7 linked regions of the Daphnia pulex genome follow. The protein of the gene in region 1 purifies or fractionates together with the protein of each later gene. This does not show direct contact. Links are inferred from orthologs where the notes say so. Each region holds a gene or a part of one and is shown on either strand. Other genes may lie near its edges. The genes, in order: RNA-binding protein with serine-rich domain 1-B-like, cleavage and polyadenylation specificity factor subunit 6-like, AMP deaminase 2-like, ATP-dependent RNA helicase DHX8-like, pre-mRNA 3' end processing protein WDR33-like, E3 ubiquitin-protein ligase RBBP6-like and serine/threonine-protein kinase prp4-like.

Region 1 (3,519 bases):
GAGCGGAAATCCATCGTCACAAGATTGATGTGACAGTCATTAACCCCGGATACATCCGCACAAGTTTGTCTCTGAACGCGCTGACGGGCCGAGGAGACAAATATGGACAGACGGATGAAACTACGGAGTCGGGAGCGGATCCACTCCAAGCTGCATATGAAATTGTCATTGCAATTAAGGAAAAAACCCAAGAGCTGATGCTCTGCTCACTCTTTTATCGTTTAGCAGTATTTCTTCGTGCAATTCTACCCAACGTTTATTTCAAACTTATGGCGCGTCGAGCGGCCAAGAGCAAAAAAAGTCGTTAATTTCTAGTAGAGAATCTCTAATACATTCTGATATAATAAGGATGTATTGTTCAGTTTGTACATTTGGGAAGTTTTCTTTATAACAAGACTACTTGAAGGCAATAAAGTACAGCTTCCAAAGGGTAATGCTAGCTGCTGTAACACAGATGGTGCAATGAAGAGTCTTCCGTTTGTTATCATCTCTTCTTACGAGAACTATGGGACTGGAAGTGGTCAACCTATTAACTGGTAATTTGGCCAGTCTTTTTGTATCCATTTCAACCTGAAGCAAAACCGATATCTGCTATGACCTTTGCCAACTTAGTCAAGTGTATGTATTCTACCTGGTATTTACAGCAAGGATCAAATTGCCAAGATGCTGTGTACAGTCCTGTACACAGCAAGGAAAGGAGACCTAATGGAGTGTATATGTATGGACGATTATCACAGAAAAATCCTAAACAGGAAATTTAACAAAATTAGACTTATATAATGCAACAACTGAATACTAGCAACAATTTACCTGTTATGACCGAACCAAGTCCAGCAAGTACTGCTGTCTTGTGAAGACAATTTCCAACGGCGATCCATCGCGCCGTTTCATCGCCTAGTCGAACTGGCTCAATGACAATTACTGGAACAGCAGCTTCCAGAGCTCGTTCTAGTTCTAGCTCAAATCTTTCCTGGGCGTTTTCACCGTCATAGATTTCTCTTACGACCGCTATTTCCGCCGAATGTGGCCCGCTAAAATTTGAAACAGCATCATAATATTATTGTGACGACCGGAAGCTTATAATATTTTTAAACAGTCATGCAAGGGATTACCTGCTCTTTCTCCTGTCTGCCATTTCTTTTGCCACTTGGCCAGTGTTTTCAAGTGGTTGCTATACGTACTGACGGCCTTGTAGAGTTTCGGCAACAGCCCAAAAACAATCATTGCCGAAACATTTTTTCGTTGCCGTCGGCTGTCGTACAACTAGTTTAACATTTTAATAATAAAAAATTAAATAATCTTTGATTTAATCTTTAAAAAATTCACATAACTTGTTCCAATTAAAAAACTATAACTTTACATTCATAAAAATAAAAACGAGAATCTATTTAATACAGGCAACGTTGTGCAAGTGGCATTAAGCGTCTGTTTTTAACGCTCCTCCCCTTTATCAACTCGTATGTTTTTCAATAAAACTTTCTGAAAATGTGAGTAAATCGAGTTAAATCCTCAGCATCATTTAATAATTTAGTAAATTTTTACGATGAATCTAAATTAACAATATTTTAAATTTGTGTAAATCACTTAGGCCGGACAAAGAAACTGGCGATCGAAAAGACCGGAAAGCCGGCGAAGATTCCAGTAAATCAAAAGATGCTAGCAAAGACAAAAAGGATACCAAAGATTCTGGGAAGAAAAAAGGCAGAGCTTCAAGCAGTGATAGTTCTTCAAGCAGAAGGTAGTGTTAAACTTTGTTGTGTTTAATGAAACCTTCAGCTTAATGTGACATTTCAGTTCTAGATCGTCCAGCAGCAGCAGTAGCAGCAGCTCTAGTTCACGATCATCCAGCAGTTCTTCTTCAGACTCTAGATCATCATCTAGTTCATCTAGCTCTTCTGATTCATCAGGTTCCTCACGTTCCAGCGGTTCATTAAAGAAGCACCAGAAAAAGAGGTAATTATTCTAGTTGGATGACGGTAAACAAGTTTCTTGTGATAACAGCATTTTTGTTGACGTACAGAGCCCCAGCGAGTGATAAGCCAAAAGTTGATAGCAAACCTGATGAAGAGAAAACAAAACTGGATGGAGAAAAGAATGTTGACAAAGACAGAAACAAAGAAAACAAACGATCCCGCTCTACATCTCCCCGGAGGCGTCGTCGCGATCGTTCACCTACACCCAAGCCACTTCGAATCCACATCGGCCGACTGACGCGCAATGTCAACAAGGAACACATTAACGAAATTTTCTCCGTTTACGGAACCATCAAAGCTGTCGAGTTTCCCAACGAACGTGCTGGGTTAAGTCACCTCCACCGGGGCTTTGCTTACATCGAGTTCAGTACTGCCGACGAAGCAGAAAATGCAATGAAGCATATGGACGGAGGTAAAGTAACGTTTGTTGGTTACTGCTATAAATACGTTTTTAATCTCAAATAATCTCTAGGCCAAATTGATGGACAAGAAATCACAGCCGCCCCTGTGCTGATCCCTAAAAACCGTCCACCACCACCTCGACGGAATTCACCACCCAGAAATCGACCGGGCCGTTGGGGCATGGGTGGTGGTCGATCTCCACCAAGGTAATATACTACTAAAGTAAATCTTTATTCCGGTTATTTGCATCTGTTGTGTTCATTTCTACAGATTCCGAAGACGTTCTCCCCTACGTCGACGATCTCCTCCACGAAGGGACAGAGATAGGAGACCACCTCCACCTGCCCGTTCCAGGTCTCGTTCACCCAATCGCCGTTCAGGTGGCAACAATCGCCGTTACAGTCGCAGTTCATCATCTTCTTCGCGTTAAATAAGACAATCATGATTTATTTAACGTTGAAGAACGTCCACTCTTTTTTTTTTATCAACTCAACTTTGTGCTCGTGATTCAGATTTTGCTTTCGCCCGAGCTGTTGCTGATGAGTCAATAGCGTAAATGCCACACGTATTCCGTAAATTTTCCCTTTTTCGATGGAATCCTGCAAGACGATACAATATCACCTGACAATGGCATTTGTCCTTCAGTTGTTTCTACTACATTTCTTTTTCATTTGAAATGAAAAGTCTTATTATTATTTTATCTATCAATTTAAAAAGTTACCCAACCGCAAGTTTATGTTGCCATCTGACGTTTTCCAGTAATCCGAGTAGTAATGCTTTCTTTTTAAAGTCAATGGCTGCTGGAGGAGAAACCGGATAAGCCTTAAAAAAAAACTAGTTGGATCTGTTTGTTGGAAACTCAATAGAAGTGTGTGTAGCGGGACATGACAAGTCAGAACACTTTCATTCCGGTTTACAAGTGACATGTGAAAGGCGGGAGATACGGTTTCGCCTCGGTGTTATAAACACAAAGAAAGGAACAGCAAATTTTTATCAGGGGGAGGGTAGAAATTTCTCACAACCGGAATGTAGCTGTTTCTAACTGCTTTTTTCCTCCTATGAAAAAGTCGATTTGGTAAATTGTGTTGTCTTCCTACATCCGGCAACGGCGCGCCCAACAGTTGGAACAAATTTGTTTGCACAG
Region 2 (4,226 bases), on another chromosome or scaffold:
CCATTCGAGCAAGATTACAAAAAAAATTTTGTCAATAAAAATTATTAATTGCCAACACCATCTTCCGCAAAAAAAATACAACAAGCATCAATCATTCAAACATTTATATCATTCCTATCTCTGCAATTCATTACATAAAACATTCCATATAAATGAAAAAAAATAGATTGACTCACCACAGCTTTCATTTAATGTTTATCACATTTCAACATTTCACTTCGATAAAAAAAACAATCTTCATTGCTTTCACTTCATTAAATTGTAACACATAATAATTCACACAACATTAGCTAAACTCATCACAATAATTCATATCACTAATCACTATTCATATCTGACAAAAAACTCACTTTAAAAAAATTCTTCTCACAAAACTGATGCACCAACTAACAGACAAATATTCAACAGCAGCCAATTTGAAACAACAACTTTCCAACTAAGAATCTGAATCAACACTGAATATCTGACTGTAAAACATCAAGAAAAAAAGAAAAACACAAGGTTATACTAAGAATAATGTGATATCAACAGTACTAAGAAAACATCAATCTAAATGAAGAACTAACCAAGGCCACGGACAAAATAACAACCACGAAACACTGGCCCTGCCAAATTTATTTCCTTTCCTCTGATTTTATTCGACACAAGAGGTGCAACAGTGAGGTATAGAATGACAAACAGAGAAAACAATACGAAAACTTAATTTTTAAATTTCCTAATCAAGAAAAAAAACGAAAGGAGACTTATAAAATCTCGAAGGTGCCACAAAGGGGCTTGATTAATGGTTAATGAAATGGACTCTGTCATTTTTTCGTTGCAGCAGAGAAAACATTGGGTAGTACGTTTATAAATAAAGTAAATACGTTAAGTTTATGATAATTGTGTTGCTTAAAGGACTTGTTCTTTTTTATTTAACATACTTAAGAAGCATCAACATACTTTTTAAAACTTTAAGTACGTTAAATCTATGATAAGTGTGTTGCTAAAAGTACTTGTTCTGTAAACATACTTAATTTCATTTTTATAAACATACTTATTTTTTTGTAAGCATGTTACACTTCGAAGAAGCATGAAATTTTGCTTTTCAGTTTGTTTATAATTCTTACCAAAAAGCGTAACGTGTTAAGTAATCTTAAAGTGCTGAAATAGGGCTAAAATAAGCATCCTACCGAGCTTCCGTGTAGCTTTTAACTGTCGGTCAACAGTATCAAAATAATGTTTTACCTGTCTGACAAGAAAAGACTTCAAATATACTAGGATAACTAGGAAATTATGTTGGATCGTGTCGGATTTATGCGGGTTTTTTTTTTTTGCAAGATTTTTGCGGGATTTTGAAGAAAATCGTGCAAGATAAAGTGCAGGATTTTTAAAAAAAAAAAAAACGGATTTTCGGGACTTTTTAGGCAACCCTGCACGACTTTGCTATTTCAGAAGTGGCAGCACTGGTGGAAACAGAGAAGAAGTTCAAGACTGTGGTCGTTGGCCATAGACTAAACTTCATAAAATGGCTGACGTGCCTGATATTGACTTGTATGCCGACGATCTTGGTGATGATTTTCATGGTGTAAGTTTACGTACTTATTTATAGTTACCGGAAGAATGCGATGTTAATATTCTGTAGTTCGTTTATCAATAACTTATTTATGTACATTTATGTTCATTTTCTGTTGTTATCCCACCGCAGTGTTTGGCGTGGCGTCTTTGCTGTTTACCGTTATTAGATGAGACAGCATCATTTAACTTATTTTCTTAACTGATTACAGGATGGTGACGAACAAATTGGCGATGGCGTTGACTTGTATGATGACGTCTTGACATCTTCAACGAGCATCAAGCAGGAACTAAATGGAAAGGAGAAGATCTCAACGCTATCTTCTCATATCACATCCAGCTCTCTACATGGTTCATCTTCATTGATCGGAACTCCACTTCAGCTTCATGGCAGCAACAGCTCATCACAATCCAAAAGGATCCAGTTGTACGTGGGCAATCTGACGTGGGTACGATTATTCAAACCTTTCCATTTATAAAACCAATTGTTCAAAGTGTCGTTTTATTTATCTAAAAAGTAATTGTGCTGTATATCGAATCATTCCCAGATAGTTCCCAATTGTTTATTTTTATTTTATCGACATTAATCAAATTGTTAAGTCTGTGATATCAACCTAGCCACCATGTTGTTATGATGGAGGGGCTATGATGTGTGATAAAACTGTATGATGGCATTCAAAATTGAAAGAAGGGCATCATGAATGTTGATGTATGTATGTGTATGTGAGAAGGCATACCAATTCAGGGACATGAACGACCATGCATGTTGTACGCTGTGTATCTGCACTTTTTAAATAATTTTTTTTATCATCTATTGATCTATCATAAGTAGTCCATCAAAACTTATCATTAGCCCCTATCAAAACCTTTGACTGAAGGTTTTTGAGTTGTGTTGTATTACGTTTCTCAGGATGCGGTCCTCCATAGAACTCCCCAGAAAAAAAATTCTTGTCAATCAGTTTTGCGTAACTGATGTGCCACATCCATCGCCCCATGTTTTTTTTTCTCCTTTGATCTCTGAAATCGTCATCTCTGCCAAACGATATTTGAGTCGAATGAATTGTTAGTTTGGGGTGGGATATCGCTTGATATGACAATCTCAGCCACGTATTATAACAACCGCTGGCGCCCATGTGCAGGAACATCTTTGATGATGACAAGAAAAAGAAACTGCACTCTGGCATACACTCACTACAAATTGCGCGGCTGTGTAAAGGTGCCCGATCAAAATATCTTTTATTTGACCAATACAATTATGGTATGGATGTAATCGGCAGAAAACGATTTTCATGCTTTGTTTTTCTATATTATCTTTCTTTCTTTTGTTTTTTAAACAAACAAACCCAATCCAAAACAACAACAAACGACAACGACACAACATCAATTTTGTGGTTGTTGGACAATACAGTGGACCACAGATGCCGACGTGGAGAATGCAATCAGCGCGATTGGCGTCCAAGACCTGGTGGAGGTGCGATTTCATGAAAACCGAGCCAACGGCCAGTCGAAAGGCTTCTGCGTCATCACCGTCGGTTCCGAGATCAGCGCTCGTCAATGCATGGACAAACTTCCCAAAAAGGATCTGCACGGACAGACGCCCATCGTCACCTTCACATCCAAACAGGCGCTCAATCAGGTAAGATCAAAACATTTCTTAATCGTTTAGTGCTGCTAGACGAATTTTTTCCAAGTGCATACCAGTAGAACCATTGACTGTCTAAATTGAATACAGTTCAAAGGTGGGAAAGTGTAATGCAACATTAAAACCAATCAAGTCTGTAAACCTACAAGTGTCGTACAATTTAACACTTAACGGACGACTTGACTGGAACATCTTTAAACATTTATGTTTTATGCATTTCTTTTAATGTCAAAATATTTTTCTTATTCAGTTTGAGGCGCAGTCAAAGAGCCGCCCATCTAGACAATCAAGTCCTCCGCGGAGTACCGGTTCTGCTCCATCCGGAGTTCCGTCGCTAACAGTCGGATTACTCGGACCTCCTCCAATGAATGGGCCTCCTCCTAGGATGATGATGGGTCCGTCAGCTTCTTCATCCGGACCCCCACCTTTAACGAGTCTCTCATTACCTCCGCCACCTTCAGTTCGTGGTCCACCGACACCCGGAGGCATTCCCGTTCCGCCACCGACGCATCACCTTCTTCCACATCCGGTCATGTCACCTACGGTCGTACCGCGAGGTCCACCACCCGGCATGGGGATGCGTGGGCCTCCGCCCGGAATGGATATGAATCCTCATCGTATTCCGCCTCCTGGCAACGGCCGGCCAGAATGGGCCAACATAGTCCAGCAGCCAGCTCCTCACGTCAATCCGGCATTCTTCCCTCCGCCCGTTGCGGCACCTCCGCCTGGATTCCCTCCACCGATCGGCCCACCACCACCATTCATCACTGATAATCGGCCACCGCACACCAATGAGCCGCCAAACGTCAGTGAAGCCGAATTCGAGGAAGTGATGGGCCGCAACCGAACAGTTTCTTCTTCCGCCATTGCTCGAGCTGTTGCGGATGCCTCAACTGGTATGTCTTCAAGCTTCATTTTGCTCATTGAACCAAAATCAGTAGTAACTTATCTGTCTTCTTCATCCAATCAGGTGATTACGCCAGTGCAATCGAGACGCTAGTAACGGCCATTTCGCTCATCAAACAGTCAAAAG
Region 3 (2,780 bases), on another chromosome or scaffold:
TTGACAGTCGACATGCTTGACGTTCACGCGGTACGTGCATATCCACACATACAGTTAAACGTGTACAGTTCTTTTTTTCTGTTTTTCAAGCATCTTTCTTTTGTTTTAGGATCGCAATACCTTCCATCGATTCGATAAGTTCAATGCGAAATATAATCCTATAGGAGAAAGTCGTTTACGCGAAGTATTTCTTAAAACCGATAACTACGTGGGAGGGAAATATTTTGCAGAAATTATTAAAGTACAATTAAGAACTAAAACAATAAAATAAGTTGCCGCTGATCCTACCGACTTTGTTGTTTGAAATCCAGGAGGTAGCCGCAGACTTGGAGGAGAGTAAATATCAAAATGCCGAGTTGCGACTATCTGTCTATGGAAAATCCAGGGATGAGTGGGAGAAATTGGCCAAGTGGGCTCACAACTTTCAAGTTTATTCGGACAATATCCGCTGGCTGGTTCAAATGCCGCGTTTATAGTAAGTAAATTCTACTTTAATAGCATTATTATATTAAATACATTTGAAGAACAGTTATCTCACGGTTTCTCACGAAGGCGGAATATTGTTTTGGTATCTCATTTCATCACTATTCGATGCATACTGTTAAATTTGATAGATTATGTTAGTTCTAGAGACCTGCGAAGACCACCTCTCTGGCGCAATAATACTATATACTCTAGTTCACCACGTAATTCATTTATTTATTTTTTTATTCTTAGTAGTATTATTAAGTCACGAACCTTTATACAAAATTTGAAATGTTTTAAGCTTTACTGTAAATGAAAGGGAGTTTACAAAAAGTATTTTACCTATACATTTCTACTTTGCAGTGATATTTATAGATCAAACAAGCTGATTAGCAACTTTCAACAACTGATCGACAATCTATTTCTTCCTTTATTCGAAGCAACCAACAATCCAGAAGCGCATCCCGAGTTACATTGTTTTCTTAAACAGGTAAACTGTTATTTTCTTTGCTCCCACCAGAGATGGCTCCCACTGCATAGGATCTTTTGCTATCGCATTTTTTTTAAATTATTTTAATTAACCTAATTGTTGTTAATTGAACAGTTGGTGGGTTTTGATTCTGTTGACGATGAAAGTAAACCTGAACATCCGGTGTTCGATAGAGAAGTTCCAACACCGGAAGAGTGGACGGAAGAAGAAAATCCTCCTTACGCTTATTACGTCTACTACGTTTACGCCAATATGTGTGTTTTAAACCAATTTCGAAAGTAAGCAATGAGTTTCATCCAAAATTAAACATGTCATTGTAATGCACCACGATAAAACAATTTATCAGGTCACGAGGAATGAACACTTTCGTCTTCAGACCTCATTGCGGCGAAGCAGGGCCAGTTCAACATTTGATTTGTGGTTTCCTTCTCGCTGAAAATATTTCTCATGGTTTGCTATTGAGAAAGGTGAATTCTTGTTAACTCTACTCGTTTGTACTGCATCATCGATTAATATGTGAATCTGCTTGGTGTGGTGACAGGTCCCAGTGTTGCAGTATTTATACTACTTGTGCCAGATCGGAATAGCAATGTCTCCATTGAGCAATAATTCTCTTTTTTTGAATTATCATCGCAATCCACTTCCCGAGTTTCTGGCCCGAGGAATGTGCATTTCTCTTTCGACAGATGATCCGCTTCAATTTCATTTCACCAAAGTATGGATGAACAGTTATGAATTTCTAACATAAATACTTCTCATAAATTAAGAATTCAGTTACTTATTCTTATTTCCCTGTAGCTATCTGTTAAAATTTTACATAGAGTTTCTTTATGTGTTTCTATATTTTGAAAAATCTTTAGGAACCTTTAATGGAAGAATACAGCATTGCAGCTCAAGTGTGGAAACTTAGCCCGTGCGACATGTGTGAATTGGCTCATAATTCCGTTCGAATGAGTGGCTACCCTCATAAAGTAAATTACCTTTCAAAATATTTTTTTTTATTTTGAAGGTAAAATAGCTGTGTTAAATAACAGGTGAAACAACATTGGCTAGGCCCCAACTATACACGCGAAGGTGTGGCCGGTAATGACATTTTCAGGACGAACGTCCCTGACATACGCGTTGCATACCGCTATGAAACACTGGTAGCGGAACTAAATAGCATTTTCAAAACTGTTTTACTCAACGATCATAAAGGATTTGTTAACGAAAAATGAGCGAAAAGTAGAGCCTATATACAGTTAAAACTGTAATAAGCAACGATTCTGTAAGTGCAGATACAAAGTAACCGAATTTGTCATGCTTATATTAAAAAAAAAAAAACATAAAAAAAAGTTTTTAAATTAGTAATGAGTGCATTTTTCTTTTTCTGAGAAGTAGGGGAGGGGACTTATCTCTATTTGAAACGAATTTTATTAGTTTTTTAACAATCATTCCTTGATTTGGTATTACTGGCTTTTAGAAGATAAAAGAACTAAATTTTAATGCCATTATTTAAAAACATAATAAATCGTTATTCATCAAATTCGTCTAATACACTATTAAAAAACAGCGCTTTTTTTTAATCTGCAAAATTTGAAATATATATATACTGTATATAGTTGGTAGTTTCTAAAATATTAGGACTAACATCACGAATTTTAATGTTAAAAACACACAAGGCACAACTTACTTTGAATTTGCAATGGACTCTAGCTCTAGCTTCAATAAGAGATATAGAAGTAGAAAATATTTTCTATATCTGTTATTCTTATCTGTTAAACGTTTTACTTTACACTGTAATGGCAAATGGCAATAAAGCGCCCGATATCGCTCAGATTCAAAC
Region 4 (3,996 bases), on another chromosome or scaffold:
CGTCTGTCCTGGTACTTTGCAGTTTCTGTCAACATTTTAATGAGCGAATAACTACAATTACCATTTTTCAGTCTGTTCCCAACTTGTTTCCGACATCAAGTTCGTCGGTAGCTGGATCAGACCACCATTTACATCATCAGTCGGACATTCAGCAACATTTACGACGACTCGACGATGTCTCTAACGAAGCAAGTTTGCCGGCTTATGAGGCCCGCCTTCCTATTCCGCTGGCTAATCAGCTTACTGGCCTCACCAACTTAACTGGCTTAAGTAGTAGTGGATATCTATCAGCTATTGCTGCTTCCGAACTGGTCAACTCTTCATCCAACTATGACCTTATGACACATGGCGATATGGAGCAACTCTCACTTGAAATTGAGAAAGAGAGGTTGTAAATCTATCGTAGGAATTGTTGCGTAATTGTTTGCTCATTTTTTAAAATAAATTTAGAGTCGAATACTTGGAAAAATCGAAGCAACTGCAGGAGCAACTGAGAGAATTGCGTACAGAGATTGAAGTCTTGAAAGTAGGTGAAAAACAAACGCTTTACGATCAGCTACACGAAGAGCAACTCCGTTCAGGGGACGACAAATACTCAACTCTCAAAAAGGTACGCATGAATGAGAGTCATTAATTCAAATTTGAGTTAATTTTTCTTTTTTTCCTAGTCAAAATCTGGATCGACTGGAGCGCGCGTGGCCTTTTTCGAAGAGCTGTAGCTTAAGTCATATTTTTAATTTTACTTTTGACAATGTGTTGTACATAAATTTTAAATTGGCTGACCATTTTCATGGATGCAACTTAGTTTATAATCTTTAATTCACTAAGTTGCCCATTTTCGTGAAATCTTATCATCATAGACATTAGACAAATAGACTTTCATTTAAAAAAAACTTAACTCTTGTTGACTAATGAGTAATGTCTTTTACTAGTAGCAGCATCGGCGTTGTTTACATTCTTATATGAATTTTGCAAAATGAACCTGTATGTCTAGAATACCAATTCAATATGAACATGGAAAAGTTTCATTCAAATTCAAACACAAAATGCAGAGAACCGAGAAAGATTAGATAATTCTTCATTTCAATCTGTGAAACGCAAAAGTTAACAAATTCATTTCGAAAAAATGTAAATATTTTTTGCGCGCAATGTTGCCAGTTCATCTATTAATTTTGATTTTTCTTTTACAGCATTCTTGCAACGTTGTCTTAACAACGAAAGCATTCGTTTTTTCGTCGGCTCGTCAATTTCCACATTCGTCGCCATCCCAATTGTTGTGCTGTCAATTTGTAAATGATTTAATAAGTGGCAAAATATCCTATATCATCATGGATGAATTAGAGAAACTCGAACACCTGTCGCTTGTTTCTAAGGTGTGCACAGAATTGGAAAACCATTTGGGACTCAACGATAAAGATCTGGCAGAGTTCATCATCGCATTGGCCGAAAAACACAAGACCTTTGATGAGTTCAAAAGTGTAATGCTGGAGAATGGCGCCGAGTTTTCAGACTCTCTCATTGCAAATTTGCTTCGTCTTATCAAACACATGAAATCAGCCAACTCGAAAACAACTGATGTGAACTTAGCCCAGGTAAAGAAAACAGTTTACAATGCAGAAACAGAGAAGAAACGGGAACTCTTCCCTGGTCTTGCCTTAGCAGATAACCCTAAGGCAAGAACAATGCTTCTCGAAGACATAAAATTGACTATTAAAGATGTTGAAGAAGCTAACGATTTAATGGCTGAACTAGAAGCCATGGCTCCTAAAGAAGAAAAGATTTCTACTGAAGCAATCGAGCCTGTTCAGGAAAGAGCAAGGAGTAAAGACAAGAAGGAAAGAAGCAGACGTTCAAGAAGCAAGGACCGCAGCAGAAGATCAAGAAGCAGAGACCGCAGCAAGAGATCCAGAAGCAGAGACCGAAGTAGAAGGTCAAGAAGCAGAGATCAAAAGAGGAGATCAAGAAGCAGGGACAGAAGTCACAGGTCCAGGAGTACAGATAGAGGAGATCGAAACAGAACAAGTGATCGTCATCATGATAAAAGAAGTAACGAAGGCAGACGAGAATCCCCAAGTCGAAAGAAACCTCAAAAAGATTTTCCAGAGAATCCAGAAGTGGGAAATGTCTACGCGGGAAAAATCATGAATCTTGCAGCTTTTGGTTGTTTTGTACAAATTGAAGGAATACGGAAAAAATGTGAGGGTCTAGTGCACATCTCCCAGTTGCGACGAGAAGGCCGTGTGAATAGTGTGGCTGAAGTTGTCAATCGTGGAGATAAGGTTCATGTCAAAGTTATGAGCATTGCTGGCCAAAAGATCTCTCTTTCTATGAAAGATGTGGACCAAGACACTGGCGAAGATTTGAACCCAGCTCCTTCGACGTCAAGCCGCCCTGGACTAACCAGCCAGGAAAGTGAAACAGCTTTAAGGAATCCAGATCGACCTCTCTCATTGCTAGATTTGAAGGCAAATGTAGAGGAGGATGAACTAACCAACCGCAAGCGTGTGCAACGGATTTCGTCTCCTGAACGCTGGGAACTGAAGCAAATGATGGCAGCAAATTGTATCGACAAAATGGACTTGCCCGAATTCGACGAAGAAACGGGTTTACTGCCAAAGCTGGCCGAAGACGAAGAAGATATCGAAATCGAGTTGGTGGAAGAAGAGGCACCCTTTCTTCGAGGTCACGGTCGAGTGCTTAATGAACTTAGTCCGGTTCGTATCGTCAAGAATCCCGACGGTTCTCTAGCTCAAGCCGCCATGATGCAAGGCGCTCTCAGCAAAGAACGCCGCGAACAGAAAATGTTGCTCAGAGAAGAACAAGAAGCAGCTGACGCACCGGCTCAAGGCGCCAACAAGACCTGGATTGATCCCATGCCGGATGCTGGGGCTGCACCGTCAACGTCGTTGGGTCGCGGAACGGGAGCCCCTGTATACGACATGCCCGAATGGAAAAAGCACATCACTGGTGGACCGAAAGGAGCCTCTTTCGGCAAGAAAACTAGTTTGTCCATCGTCGAGCAACGTCAATCACTTCCCATCTACAAACTCAGAGATGAACTGATCAAAGCTGTCAATGACAACCAAATCCTAATTGTCATCGGTGAGACGGGCTCGGGAAAAACTACGCAAATCACTCAATATCTATCCGAGTCCGGATTCACGGCTCGTGGAAAGATCGGCTGTACGCAGCCTCGTCGTGTGGCCGCCATGTCCGTTGCCAAGCGAGTTTCGGAAGAGTTTGGTTGTCGTCTAGGACAGGAAGTTGGATACACGATTCGTTTTGAAGATTGCACCAGTCCTGAAACTTTGATCAAGTACATGACGGATGGTATGTTGCTGCGTGAATGCTTGATTGATCCCGATCTGCAATCGTATTCCTGCATCATGTTGGACGAAGCCCACGAAAGAACTATTCACACAGACGTTCTTTTCGGTCTTCTCAAGCAAGCCGTCCAGAAGCGAGCCGAACTCAAACTCATCGTAACGTCGGCCACTTTGGATGCCGTGAAATTCTCGCAGTACTTTTTCGAGGCGCCCATCTTCACCATTCCGGGTCGAACTTTTCCCGTCGAGATATTGTATACTCGGGAACCTGAGACGGATTACTTGGATGCCTCGCTCATTACCGTCATGCAGATCCACCTTAACGAACCACCGGGCGACATTCTTCTTTTCTTGACTGGTCAGGAAGAGATCGATACTGCCTGCGAAATTCTATACGAGCGCATGAAGTCCATGGGCCCTGACGTTCCTGAGCTCATCATTCTTCCCGTCTATTCCGCTCTACCGTCTGAAATGCAAACTCGAATTTTCGAACCGGCTCCACCAGGCTCCCGAAAAGTTGTTATCGCCACCAACATCGCCGAGACCAGTCTTACCATCGACGGTATCTACTATGTCGTCGATCCTGGTTTTGTCAAGCAGAAAGTCTACAATTCCAAGACCGGAATGGACTCTTTGGTGGTGACACCCATTTCACAGGCGCAAGCCAAGC
Region 5 (2,364 bases), on another chromosome or scaffold:
TTCTAACCAATTGCCATGACGACATGACGGTTGTAAAAGAAGAAATTTTTGGACCAGTCGCTACCATTTTGCCGTTTGATACCGAGGAAGAAGTTATTCGTCGAGCCAATCAAACTCCTTACGGATTGAGTGCTGGCATTTTTACAAAGTATTGTTTACCTAAAATAAATCTCATTTCTGTGAAACTTAACGATTACACTTTTACAGAGACCTGAGAAGAGCACACCGAACTTCGGACCGTTTGCAATCTGGTACAATTTGGGTGAACAACTTCAACGTCACACCAGTCGAATTGCCTTTCGGTGGGTTCAAGCAGAGTGGCATCGGTGTCGAATGCAGTACTGAAGCCATCCAATGTTATACTCAGTTGAAGTCAGTCTACGTTGAAATGAATGATGTAGACTGCCCCTTGTACAATTCCAAATAGGCTAACGTCCAACGAGGATTGACCTTTTATTTTGGTGTTTGAATTTTGTTTGGTCCTAGAGTTAGTCAGTTGGTATGTCGTGAACATGGCGAGCATTATTCATTTTCAATTTTGTACACATTTTATAAAAAATGGCGAGAAAATAAGAGATACAAAATCATCCATCAGTCGCATTGAAATTCTTTCATCAATAGTTGTTATATCCTCCTCTTCGAGGTCGCCGACCACCTCCACCCCTCCCGAAACCTCCCCGTCCACCTCCGCCTTCTGGATTCCAACGGCCTGGTGGAGGCTGATGATGCGGTGGTGGTGGATGGAATTGTCCAGGATAGCTTGGAGCGAAATGACCTGGTGGTGGTCCCCTACCACCGTAATCCTCGTCGCCTCTTTCAAAAGGGCCGGGAGGTTCACCACCCCCTCGATAGTTGTTGGGACCAGGACCCCAACCGCCAAAGTTTCCTTCGCCATGCCGATCACTCATTTGTGGAGGTGGGGGAGGCGGATAACCGCCTTCCATCCGCATGTCGTCTTCAATGGGCTGCATTGGGGGTCCTCCATTTCCCATATAATGCAGTTCTTCTTCATTATCGATAGATGGTGGTGGACCACCCCACGCTTGATTTCCACCTGGTGGTCCGTGATGACCTCTCCCTGTTTTTCCATCCGCATAATTAGTTTGCATTAGATTACTTAAACTTAAAACCATGAGCGTACCTCTGCCTGGAGGTGGAAGTGGAGGTCCACTTTGATTAAATCGGTCCTGATGGTGCGGTGGCTGGAAGTAGGGTCTATTCATTGGACCCTGACTATGAGGTGGTCGCGGAGGAAAGCGATCTGGTTGCTGTTGTGGTTCGAAAGGTGGGCGATCCCAATTTCCCATTTCTAAAAATAAATAACCGACAGATAAGTTCAAGTTGCGTCATTTTTCTTCGACTATTTCAATCAAACCTTGAGGTGGAGGTTGGCCTTGCCAGCCTCCGTGATTATGGTGGTGATTGTGTTGCTGCTGCTGTTGTTGTTGCGGTTGCTGTTGTTGCGGTAAATGATGGTGGTGGTGTTGCTGCCCAGCTCCTGGTGGTAACGGATGACGGATGGGCTGAACAGGGTGGCCCCTCTGTTGAAACTCTACAACTATTCAATAATTTAGTACAGTGCCAACAGCAGAACAATCATTTATGCAAATTAATTACCTCTCTGAGGGAAGTCTCCTAGAAGACCACCAGTTGGTGTTGGACCAATTCCTGAATGACCCCTGTTGTAGCCCGGAGAGTCGTCAAGAACAGGTGTTCGAGAGCGCGGATAGAAATCGTCGTCGTCCAATTCTCGATCTTGATTGTACTCGCCAGTTGGAACTACTTCGGGTTTAGTCTCCTCCTCCTCAACAGTAACTTTCAAGCCCATCGAAGATAGAACCTGATTAAACTCTTCTTCGCCAGTACGAATGGCTTTCTCTAACTCTGAATCGGCTTCGATGGACAGTATCGTGCCATCGATTATGACAGCTGTCGGAGTGGGAAGTTGAGTAACAGGCAACGACTGAGCCGTGTCGAGCAATTCTTGCAACTGCTCTGGATCATTAGCCGGTAGGCCGAACAGGGTCAGAGATGCGCGACCCAACTGTTCCATTCCAAAGGCAACGGGATCAACACCAAGGACGTGATCCTCTTCATCAGACAGTACACCCGATGCTGACGATAGGCTGGGAGTGGGTAAGATGGCTGGTTTCTTACTAGCACTGCTCTCATTCCATTGTGCCTGGAAGTGACGTGGAATTGGTTTGGCATACGGAACTTTCTTGATGGGTTTCACGTCTTGTGCTAATGGTTCCACATCCAGACCAGGAATCATGCCTGCGCTTAATAAACTGAGGCTACTCTGACCGAGTTGTCCGTCTCCGCCTTCTGCTTCCACTTTGTCTTCGGGTCCCATTCCTGGGA
Region 6 (4,300 bases), on another chromosome or scaffold:
GGCATGATGTTATCATTCTTTATTTCAAAAGGATGAAGAATTCAAGGAAGAAATTGCAACTTCTCCGGTGGCCGAAGAAGAGTTTAATGAAGAACCGAGTGAACCACCTCCACCGGGCGGAGAAAGCCTCGAAGAAGTTAGAGTCCCTACGCCTACGGTCGATGAAAAGCCTCCTGCAACTCCGACTGCTAGTGCTGAGGGTACCCAGGCTGATGTGGTTAAACAGTCACCTACCGCACCTTCGAAAAGTACCCCACCGACAGTCAACAATTTGTCTATTTTAGCTCAGAAAGCTCCATTGATTGCACTTCAACAAGCTTTATTACAAGGAAATCCACTCTTGCTTGGTATGATCTATAATCTAGTTCCAGAAGAGATTGTTTCTCTAAGACGTTGTAAATATCGTTACAGGCTCACAGAATATACAACAGATTGCCCTAATTCAACAAGGGCTGATGGCGATGCAGCGTATTCCTCATTCTTCACAGTCAGCTCCTTTGTTGCCTACACCCACTCCAATACAGACTGCTCCGGTTTCGCAGACAATACCGCCGCAGAATTCTGTTCCGATTCAGCCACTCATGACTGCCCAACCTCCCACTCACATACCACCTCCGGGATTCCCTCGATCCATGCCGCCGCCTAGATTTCAGGGTCCATCGATCCCACCTCCCGGGGCTAGACCAATGATGCCCCCAGGAGGACCAAGAGGACTACCTCCAATGGGCTACCCAGGGTAAAATGAACATAGCAGAGTGACTTTTGAATTTAACAAGCAATTCTTAAAGCAAATTTTTCTTGTTTGCGTTATAGTGCTCCGCCGTTTCCTCCTAATGGCATGGGAATGCCTCCAGGCTACGGCAATCATGCTTCTAGTGCAGCCAGTCAACTGGCCAGCCACCCGATTTTACAGCAAGGGTATTTATAATAATTCAAATCCTTTTGTTTGAATCGCACTTAGAATGTGCCATTGAATAACGAATTTCAGTGTGATCGAAGACCCCTTGGCTGCCTTTGAGAAACTCTTAAAGGAGAAAGAAGAACGTGACAGAGCACGAAAAAAGCGAAGATCAATTTCGCGGTCAAGGAGTCGCTCTCGGTCTAGAACACGTCGATCTAAATCACCTAGGCAGCGGAGTCGATCGCGCAGTGGATCTCCTCCCCGAAGGCAATTATCGTTCTTTTCTATTTTGAAAATCCTTGCGTTATGTTTTGGTTACACTTACATTTTTTCATCCCTGAAGGAGACATTTTCTTTGATTTCCTTATCGTGTGCCAATTTATTTAAATTTTTTTTTATATTTTACATTTCGACACTTGACTCCTGTTTCCTTTTTGCCTTTCTTGTTTGTCACGGTACACGTATGTTGAAGAAGACGTTGACTAATCTCGTGTTGGTTGTGAATGGTTTAGACGTTCTCGATCTCATTCTCCCAGCCGACGGAGAAGAAGTCCAGCAGTACGTGCTCGCAGAGGTAGATCGCGATCGCGGTCTCAATCGGGTGGGAGATCTCCTAGTCCTCGGAGCGGACGTCATGGGTTTTACGACCGGTCACCGTCACATGGATCCCCTGGAAGGTAAAAAAACAAAAAATGATTTTTCTTCCTATAATTCAATAAAGTGTTTCAAATTTGTCTTTCTTTCCATTAAAGATACCCTCGAGAGTATCGTGAAGAGTTCCCTAATGCTGCATCGGCAAATTATTACCCACCATACGGTTATCCACCTATGGGTCCACAAGGCCTACCAATGAGAGGATACGGCGGTCCTCCAGGTCCAATGGGCCCGATCGGCAGAGGTGGCCCCATGGGTGGTTATGTACCACGAGGACCACACTTTGGAATCGGCATGCCTAGAGGAATGGGACCACGTGGACCCTACCCTCCTGGATACATGGGACCAAGAGGACCAATGGGAATCGTAGGTGCTCCTCCTTCTCTGCTCTCACTCGACCTGGGAAGAGGTCGTGGATATCGAGAAGAACGACGGACTGACTACGAGCGTGAATACTACAACCCCGAAGCAGACCGAACTCGCCGTTCACCTCCGCCACCTCCACCTGGAGAATTTGAATCAGACGCTCCTCTTATTTACACTAAACCACGTCGTCCAGATCAGCCCGAAAAAGGCCCAGAAAAGCCCAGAGAAAGAATCAAAGAGCGCGAACGTGAAAGAGATCACGGCCATATGAAGGATGGCCGAGAGCGGGAACGCGAAAGGGATCGGGAGCGAGGAGATCGAGACAAGGAAAGAGAACGCGATCGTGACCGTGATCGCGAGAGGGAGCGAGAACGCGAACGAGACAGAGAGAGAGATCGTGAGCGGGAAAAAGGCAGATCTCGACACGAAGTCCGGGATACTAAAGATACCAGTCGACGAACGGAAGCCATTTCGCGAGAACGGGATCGTGATCGAGCGGGATCTCCCAGTTCGGTCAGCAGCAAGTCCAGTACGACTACCAAGGAGAAATCCAAGGAGAAGGAAAAAGAAAGAGATCGTGAAAAGGAGAAGAAAAAGGAAAAGAAAGAAAAGGATGAAGAGGACAAGAAGAAGGACAAGAAACGCAAGAAGAAGAAGGAAAAAGAAAAGGAGAAAGACAAGGAGAAAGAAAAGAAGGACAAGAAAAAAAGCAAACACGACAAAAAGAAGAGCGCCGACAGCGAAGACCGCGAAGCTGAAGCTGTACGAACGCAAAACCAATTGGACCAGCCATCAATTCCTGGTAAATTTGTTTTGCCTTCAAAAAAATTGGTGTCATCAGTTTGGTAGTTTTATTGACAGTTTCCTATTTTGTATTTGACAGGCGATCGTAGCGGAGTGATGGATGATTCTGCCACAACAGGAGTCGACAGAGCGAAATTGGAGCATGCAAATCATCGAGAGAGCGATGACTTTCGAATTCCGACAGTTCCAGAGGAAGAAGCCGCCTTAGAAGATGTTCTTATCATAACCACTGACAAAAGCCTCGAATCACTCGTGGACGACATCCCACCTACAGAAGAAGATTCCGACAGTTCTAAAACAGTGAAAAAGGATAGAAGCAGGGAAAGAGAGAAGGACGATAAAGTGAAAGAAACCAAAGTTCTGCCACTTCCGCACTCGCGCTGGGAGGAAGATTCGGAAGAAGATGAAGGAATTGACTCCGTGAAGAACGTGACTGACGTTGGCGCTATTGGTGGAGACTCTGGTCAAGTCAAACGGCCAGATAATGCCATCTTTCGTCGGGCTATTAGTGCTATCAAGCCTAAAGTGATCGAAATTAAATTGCGACCCGAACGTCGAGTCTTGCTGGATTCAGCCCCAGAAAAGATCGGAGAAATTGAAATGGACGACAGCGGAAACGCAAGAGTGTCTCCGGATTCCTTATTGAATCTAAGAGTCGCCGCCTCCGCCGCCGCCCCGGCAGTGGTACCGAAATTCAATCCCGCCCTTGTCGATTTGAAACTCCTTGACGTTGACGAGAAGAAGAAATCGGTGCGCGACAGGTTGGGTGACAAAATTGAGCCGGAACAACCACCTGCTAGGAATCACGACAAGTCGGACGACACCAAGGACACCAAAGTTGATAAATCGAAAGAAAAGAAGGACGGTGGTAAAAAGGACAAGGAAAAACGTTCTAGTCCCGCCAAAGACAAGGTAATTAATTTAGTGCAAACAGATTTGATTCACAGCTTTGAGAAATAATGGGAACGTGTCCGATGTTTGTTTTATTCAGAAGGATCGCAAAGAAGATAAACGTGACAAAGACAAACGAAGTCGAGCTAAGGAGAAGGACAAGGATAAGAAACACAAACGTAAAGAAAAGGAAGAAAAGAAGAGCAAAGAAGACAAAGAAAAGAAGGATGAAATGAAGCCTTCCAACACTGACGTTCGCCACGGCGACAAAACGAAATCGAGCAAAAACGATGACAAGCAAATCGGTACAATCGTCTTTTCTTTTTTTTTCCCCTGTTTCGGCTGTCCTCCTCACGTCGTTTCTATTTTGAATAAATTTACATTCTGACTCGTAGACAAAGACAAGGAGAAATCTGAAAAGATCAAGAAGCGGAAGCGTTCCTGGTCGAGCAGTACTAGCAGCAGTAGTTCCAGCAGCACTTCAGACTCGGAAAGCAGCTCATCTGAATCGGGCGGTGGCGGAGGTGGTAAGCGCAAGAAGAAGAATCGTAAGAAGCGTCACGTTTCTTCCAGCAGTGATTCTTCCGACTCGAGTCGCGAGCCCAAGAAGAAGAAGAAAAAGTCCAAAAAGACTTCGTCGAAGCGGAAGCAGAAAAAGACTTCTTCGCAGTGAATATACAACGC
Region 7 (2,139 bases), on another chromosome or scaffold:
CATCAGTTCACAGAATTTCAGACCTGTACACTTAAGAAGAAAATATCATACAAATGGCAAAATATCACTTTTCAATACTAAACAAATGGCCAATAAGTTTCTTCCTAATGTAATTTAACAGCTTTGAGGTAAGCTCCTGAGCTTCAAGTGTCACCCACTCCCCAACACAACCCAGTCCAAAGATACAAAGCATTCTTTACGATCGTTTCGAAAACTTACCACAAGCCACAATAATTGTAAATAGTCAGATTGGTGAAATAAGAGCCAATTAAACAGAGTTTTTCTAATTTAAAACCGCGTCCATTCCACATTTATAACATATCCTCGACTTTTCAGTGCCGAACTGACGACAGACACTAGTTTCGTCTTTTGCCCACATGGCGTTGGCGTCGCCTGAACGGCATTTACGATGCTTGTCATTGCCTATGCTCCGGCTGGCTTTTTATGCGATGCGACGACCTTTAAAGCTGAATAAAAAAATCAAAAAAAAATCTAACAAATTTTGTTATAATTAAACTACATGGTGTATTGTCAAACCATTCGATTCATTCAAAATCCAGGAGTAGGCTAGATAAGGGAATAGTGGAGCGAAAGAAAGTATTGAACTAAATCGAAGTTCATCAAATATCCACCGAATGGCGAATAATCTCCAAGCCATGAGATGTCGAATTCAAGAATTCTAAATCTTTTCCGTCACAAATGGGTGGGTTAACGCTTGGTGGATCGTTAATCGTTTAGTTGGATCGAGCATTAGAAATTTGTCTAGCATATCCCGTAATTGCAGGACTTTTCGGTATTGGTCGTCAGGTAAATGTTGACCCCCGATTAATTCATTTTGCAAATCACGTATTGGATTTACTGTAGACATAATAACTACTTTCTCCTACAAAATGCAATTAAAGAGAAATGAATGAAAAGGGTATAAAGCAATAATGAGAAATTTTTTTTTCATTTTAATAAAATTAAAAATACCCTTTCTGTCAGCTTATCCACCTCGCGGGATAGAAAATTAAAACTGGAATCGAAGTGCTGATCTTTAAAGGCTCCTTTTCTGATCAATTTGTTAGGAAATTTCCCTTTTAAATCCATGAACAGCTTCAGCATCTAACAAATTAAATGTAGACAAACACATACATCTTGATGAAACACTGAACAAACGAATCAAACATCAGAAAGTTCATTAAATTTTTACCTGGTTGTTTGAATTACCAGGAAACAAGATTTTACCAGTGTACAACTCATATATGGTGCAAGCCAAAGACCAGACATCAACGCCATAATCATATGGCATTCCTAAAACTACAGGTAGAAATAGTGAGTATTGTAGAGTTCCTTTGAAAATTGTAACCGGAGATTTAATCTACTACTTACTAATCTCAGGAGATCGATAAAAACGGCTGACTAAATAAGGCGTGATTTCATTTTCGGCAACGTGAGATGCTGATCCGAAATCACCTAACTTCAACATTACTTTATTTTCATGAACCTGTGAAACAACGAAATCTTTACAACTTATTTTAAATTCCTAAATGTATTCCATGGCGATTAACCAAAGGAATGTAAAAATTGGAGTTTTAATGTTTTTGAGGATTTAAGTGAGGCTTACTAAAATATTATCTGGTTTGATATCAGCATGCAGAATATTGACTTTTTTAAGAAGCCGAAGCGCTAGGAAAAGTTGCTGACTGTAAGATCGGACGGCTTTGATATTGAGCCCGACATCTTTGCCGTATTTTTTCAAAACCTTCGGAGAAAAGAAAGCATTATGAAATATAAATCAATATAGATATAAATTTATAGTGATGTCACCTCTCTCAGATTCATAGCTAACGGCTCAAAGACCAAGCATAAATGCTGTTTATGGAAAAAGTGTCGAAAAAGTCGAACGCAATGATGTTTGTCTTCCGAATCGGCATCGTTGAGCTTTCGCAAAATCTCCAGTTCTTTGAGCCCAGTTTTATGCCTGAAAAGAACAAAAGAGGATTGCTTTAAATTTGTGTCCACTTAAAAAAATTGGCATCATCTCTCGCCATCATAAGGGAAAAGATATCCGGCGAAAGCCCGTTGATGACAAGGCACATAGTTCACAGCATTACGTAAACAGTTCGATCCAAACAGATTAATACCCAACTGATTGGG

What was found.
Region 2: the proteins of RNA-binding protein with serine-rich domain 1-B-like (region 1) and cleavage and polyadenylation specificity factor subunit 6-like purify together in Homo sapiens (co-immunoprecipitation; 3 studies listed by BioGRID and IntAct, with this or other methods). This does not show direct contact. The link is inferred for Daphnia pulex from reciprocal best matches to the Homo sapiens genes RNPS1 and CPSF6.
Region 3: the proteins of RNA-binding protein with serine-rich domain 1-B-like (region 1) and AMP deaminase 2-like purify together in Homo sapiens (co-immunoprecipitation; 3 studies listed by BioGRID and IntAct, with this or other methods). This does not show direct contact. The link is inferred for Daphnia pulex from reciprocal best matches to the Homo sapiens genes RNPS1 and AMPD2.
Region 4: the proteins of RNA-binding protein with serine-rich domain 1-B-like (region 1) and ATP-dependent RNA helicase DHX8-like purify together in Homo sapiens (co-immunoprecipitation; 3 studies listed by BioGRID and IntAct, with this or other methods). This does not show direct contact. The link is inferred for Daphnia pulex from reciprocal best matches to the Homo sapiens genes RNPS1 and DHX8.
Region 5: the proteins of RNA-binding protein with serine-rich domain 1-B-like (region 1) and pre-mRNA 3' end processing protein WDR33-like purify together in Homo sapiens (co-immunoprecipitation; 3 studies listed by BioGRID and IntAct, with this or other methods). This does not show direct contact. The link is inferred for Daphnia pulex from reciprocal best matches to the Homo sapiens genes RNPS1 and WDR33.
Region 6: the proteins of RNA-binding protein with serine-rich domain 1-B-like (region 1) and E3 ubiquitin-protein ligase RBBP6-like purify together in Homo sapiens (co-immunoprecipitation; 3 studies listed by BioGRID and IntAct, with this or other methods). This does not show direct contact. The link is inferred for Daphnia pulex from reciprocal best matches to the Homo sapiens genes RNPS1 and RBBP6.
Region 7: the proteins of RNA-binding protein with serine-rich domain 1-B-like (region 1) and serine/threonine-protein kinase prp4-like purify together in Homo sapiens (co-immunoprecipitation; 4 studies listed by BioGRID and IntAct, with this or other methods). This does not show direct contact. The link is inferred for Daphnia pulex from reciprocal best matches to the Homo sapiens genes RNPS1 and PRP4K.

Annotation. Positions count from the first base shown.
Region 1 is NC_060025.1:2,684,696-2,688,214, reverse strand, and holds RNA-binding protein with serine-rich domain 1-B-like, read left to right. Parts: upstream 1-1,403; 5' UTR 1,404-1,485; coding exon 1,486-1,487; intron 1,488-1,588; coding exon 1,589-1,738; intron 1,739-1,794; coding exon 1,795-1,953; intron 1,954-2,020; coding exon 2,021-2,385; intron 2,386-2,445; coding exon 2,446-2,581; intron 2,582-2,645; coding exon 2,646-2,805; 3' UTR 2,806-3,019; downstream 3,020-3,519. Other genes in the region: dehydrogenase/reductase SDR family protein 7-like, read left to right, coding at 1-308; transmembrane protein 11, mitochondrial-like, read right to left, coding at 397-570, 632-744, 811-1,031, 1,113-1,135. UniProt on the Homo sapiens protein: Part of pre- and post-splicing multiprotein mRNP complexes. Auxiliary component of the splicing-dependent multiprotein exon junction complex (EJC) deposited at splice junction on mRNAs.
Region 2 is NC_060024.1:13,144,831-13,149,056, forward strand, and holds the start of cleavage and polyadenylation specificity factor subunit 6-like, read left to right. Parts: upstream 1-1,426; 5' UTR 1,427-1,504; coding exon 1,505-1,564; intron 1,565-1,763; coding exon 1,764-2,000; exon of another isoform or gene 2,001-2,641; coding exon of another isoform or gene 2,642-2,809; intron 2,810-2,959; coding exon 2,960-3,187; intron 3,188-3,443; coding exon 3,444-4,089; intron 4,090-4,163; coding exon 4,164-4,226. UniProt on the Homo sapiens protein: Component of the cleavage factor Im (CFIm) complex that functions as an activator of the pre-mRNA 3'-end cleavage and polyadenylation processing required for the maturation of pre-mRNA into functional mRNAs.
Region 3 is NC_060020.1:5,365,623-5,368,402, reverse strand, and holds the end of AMP deaminase 2-like, read left to right. Parts: coding exon 1-30; intron 31-109; coding exon 110-241; intron 242-311; coding exon 312-475; intron 476-828; coding exon 829-955; intron 956-1,069; coding exon 1,070-1,233; intron 1,234-1,301; coding exon 1,302-1,422; intron 1,423-1,496; coding exon 1,497-1,670; intron 1,671-1,815; coding exon 1,816-1,926; intron 1,927-1,989; coding exon 1,990-2,172; 3' UTR 2,173-2,280; downstream 2,281-2,780. UniProt on the Homo sapiens protein: AMP deaminase plays a critical role in energy metabolism. Catalyzes the deamination of AMP to IMP and plays an important role in the purine nucleotide cycle.
Region 4 is NC_060022.1:2,536,267-2,540,262, reverse strand, and holds the start of ATP-dependent RNA helicase DHX8-like, read left to right. Parts: upstream 1-1,196; 5' UTR 1,197-1,328; coding exon 1,329-3,996. Other genes in the region: merlin-like, read left to right, coding at 1-11, 72-388, 451-610, 669-719.
Region 5 is NC_060018.1:835,642-838,005, forward strand, and holds the end of pre-mRNA 3' end processing protein WDR33-like, read right to left. Parts: coding exon 1,618-2,364; intron 1,559-1,617; coding exon 1,376-1,558; intron 1,310-1,375; coding exon 1,142-1,309; intron 1,079-1,141; coding exon 615-1,078; 3' UTR 501-614; downstream 1-500. Other genes in the region: 4-trimethylaminobutyraldehyde dehydrogenase A-like, read left to right, coding at 1-148, 208-427. UniProt on the Homo sapiens protein: Essential for both cleavage and polyadenylation of pre-mRNA 3' ends.
Region 6 is NC_060018.1:4,205,544-4,209,843, reverse strand, and holds part of E3 ubiquitin-protein ligase RBBP6-like, read left to right. Parts: intron 1-31; coding exon 32-347; intron 348-411; coding exon 412-736; intron 737-813; coding exon 814-918; intron 919-988; coding exon 989-1,168; intron 1,169-1,413; coding exon 1,414-1,578; intron 1,579-1,653; coding exon 1,654-2,723; intron 2,724-2,804; coding exon 2,805-3,637; intron 3,638-3,716; coding exon 3,717-3,921; intron 3,922-4,011; coding exon 4,012-4,289; 3' UTR 4,290-4,300. UniProt on the Homo sapiens protein: E3 ubiquitin-protein ligase which promotes ubiquitination of YBX1, leading to its degradation by the proteasome.
Region 7 is NC_060020.1:7,009,495-7,011,633, reverse strand, and holds the end of serine/threonine-protein kinase prp4-like, read right to left. Parts: intron 1,964-2,139; coding exon 1,810-1,963; intron 1,745-1,809; coding exon 1,607-1,744; intron 1,487-1,606; coding exon 1,372-1,486; intron 1,300-1,371; coding exon 1,193-1,299; intron 1,105-1,192; coding exon 973-1,104; intron 884-972; coding exon 680-883; 3' UTR 501-679; downstream 1-500. UniProt on the Homo sapiens protein: Serine/threonine kinase involved in spliceosomal assembly as well as mitosis and signaling regulation. Connects chromatin mediated regulation of transcription and pre-mRNA splicing.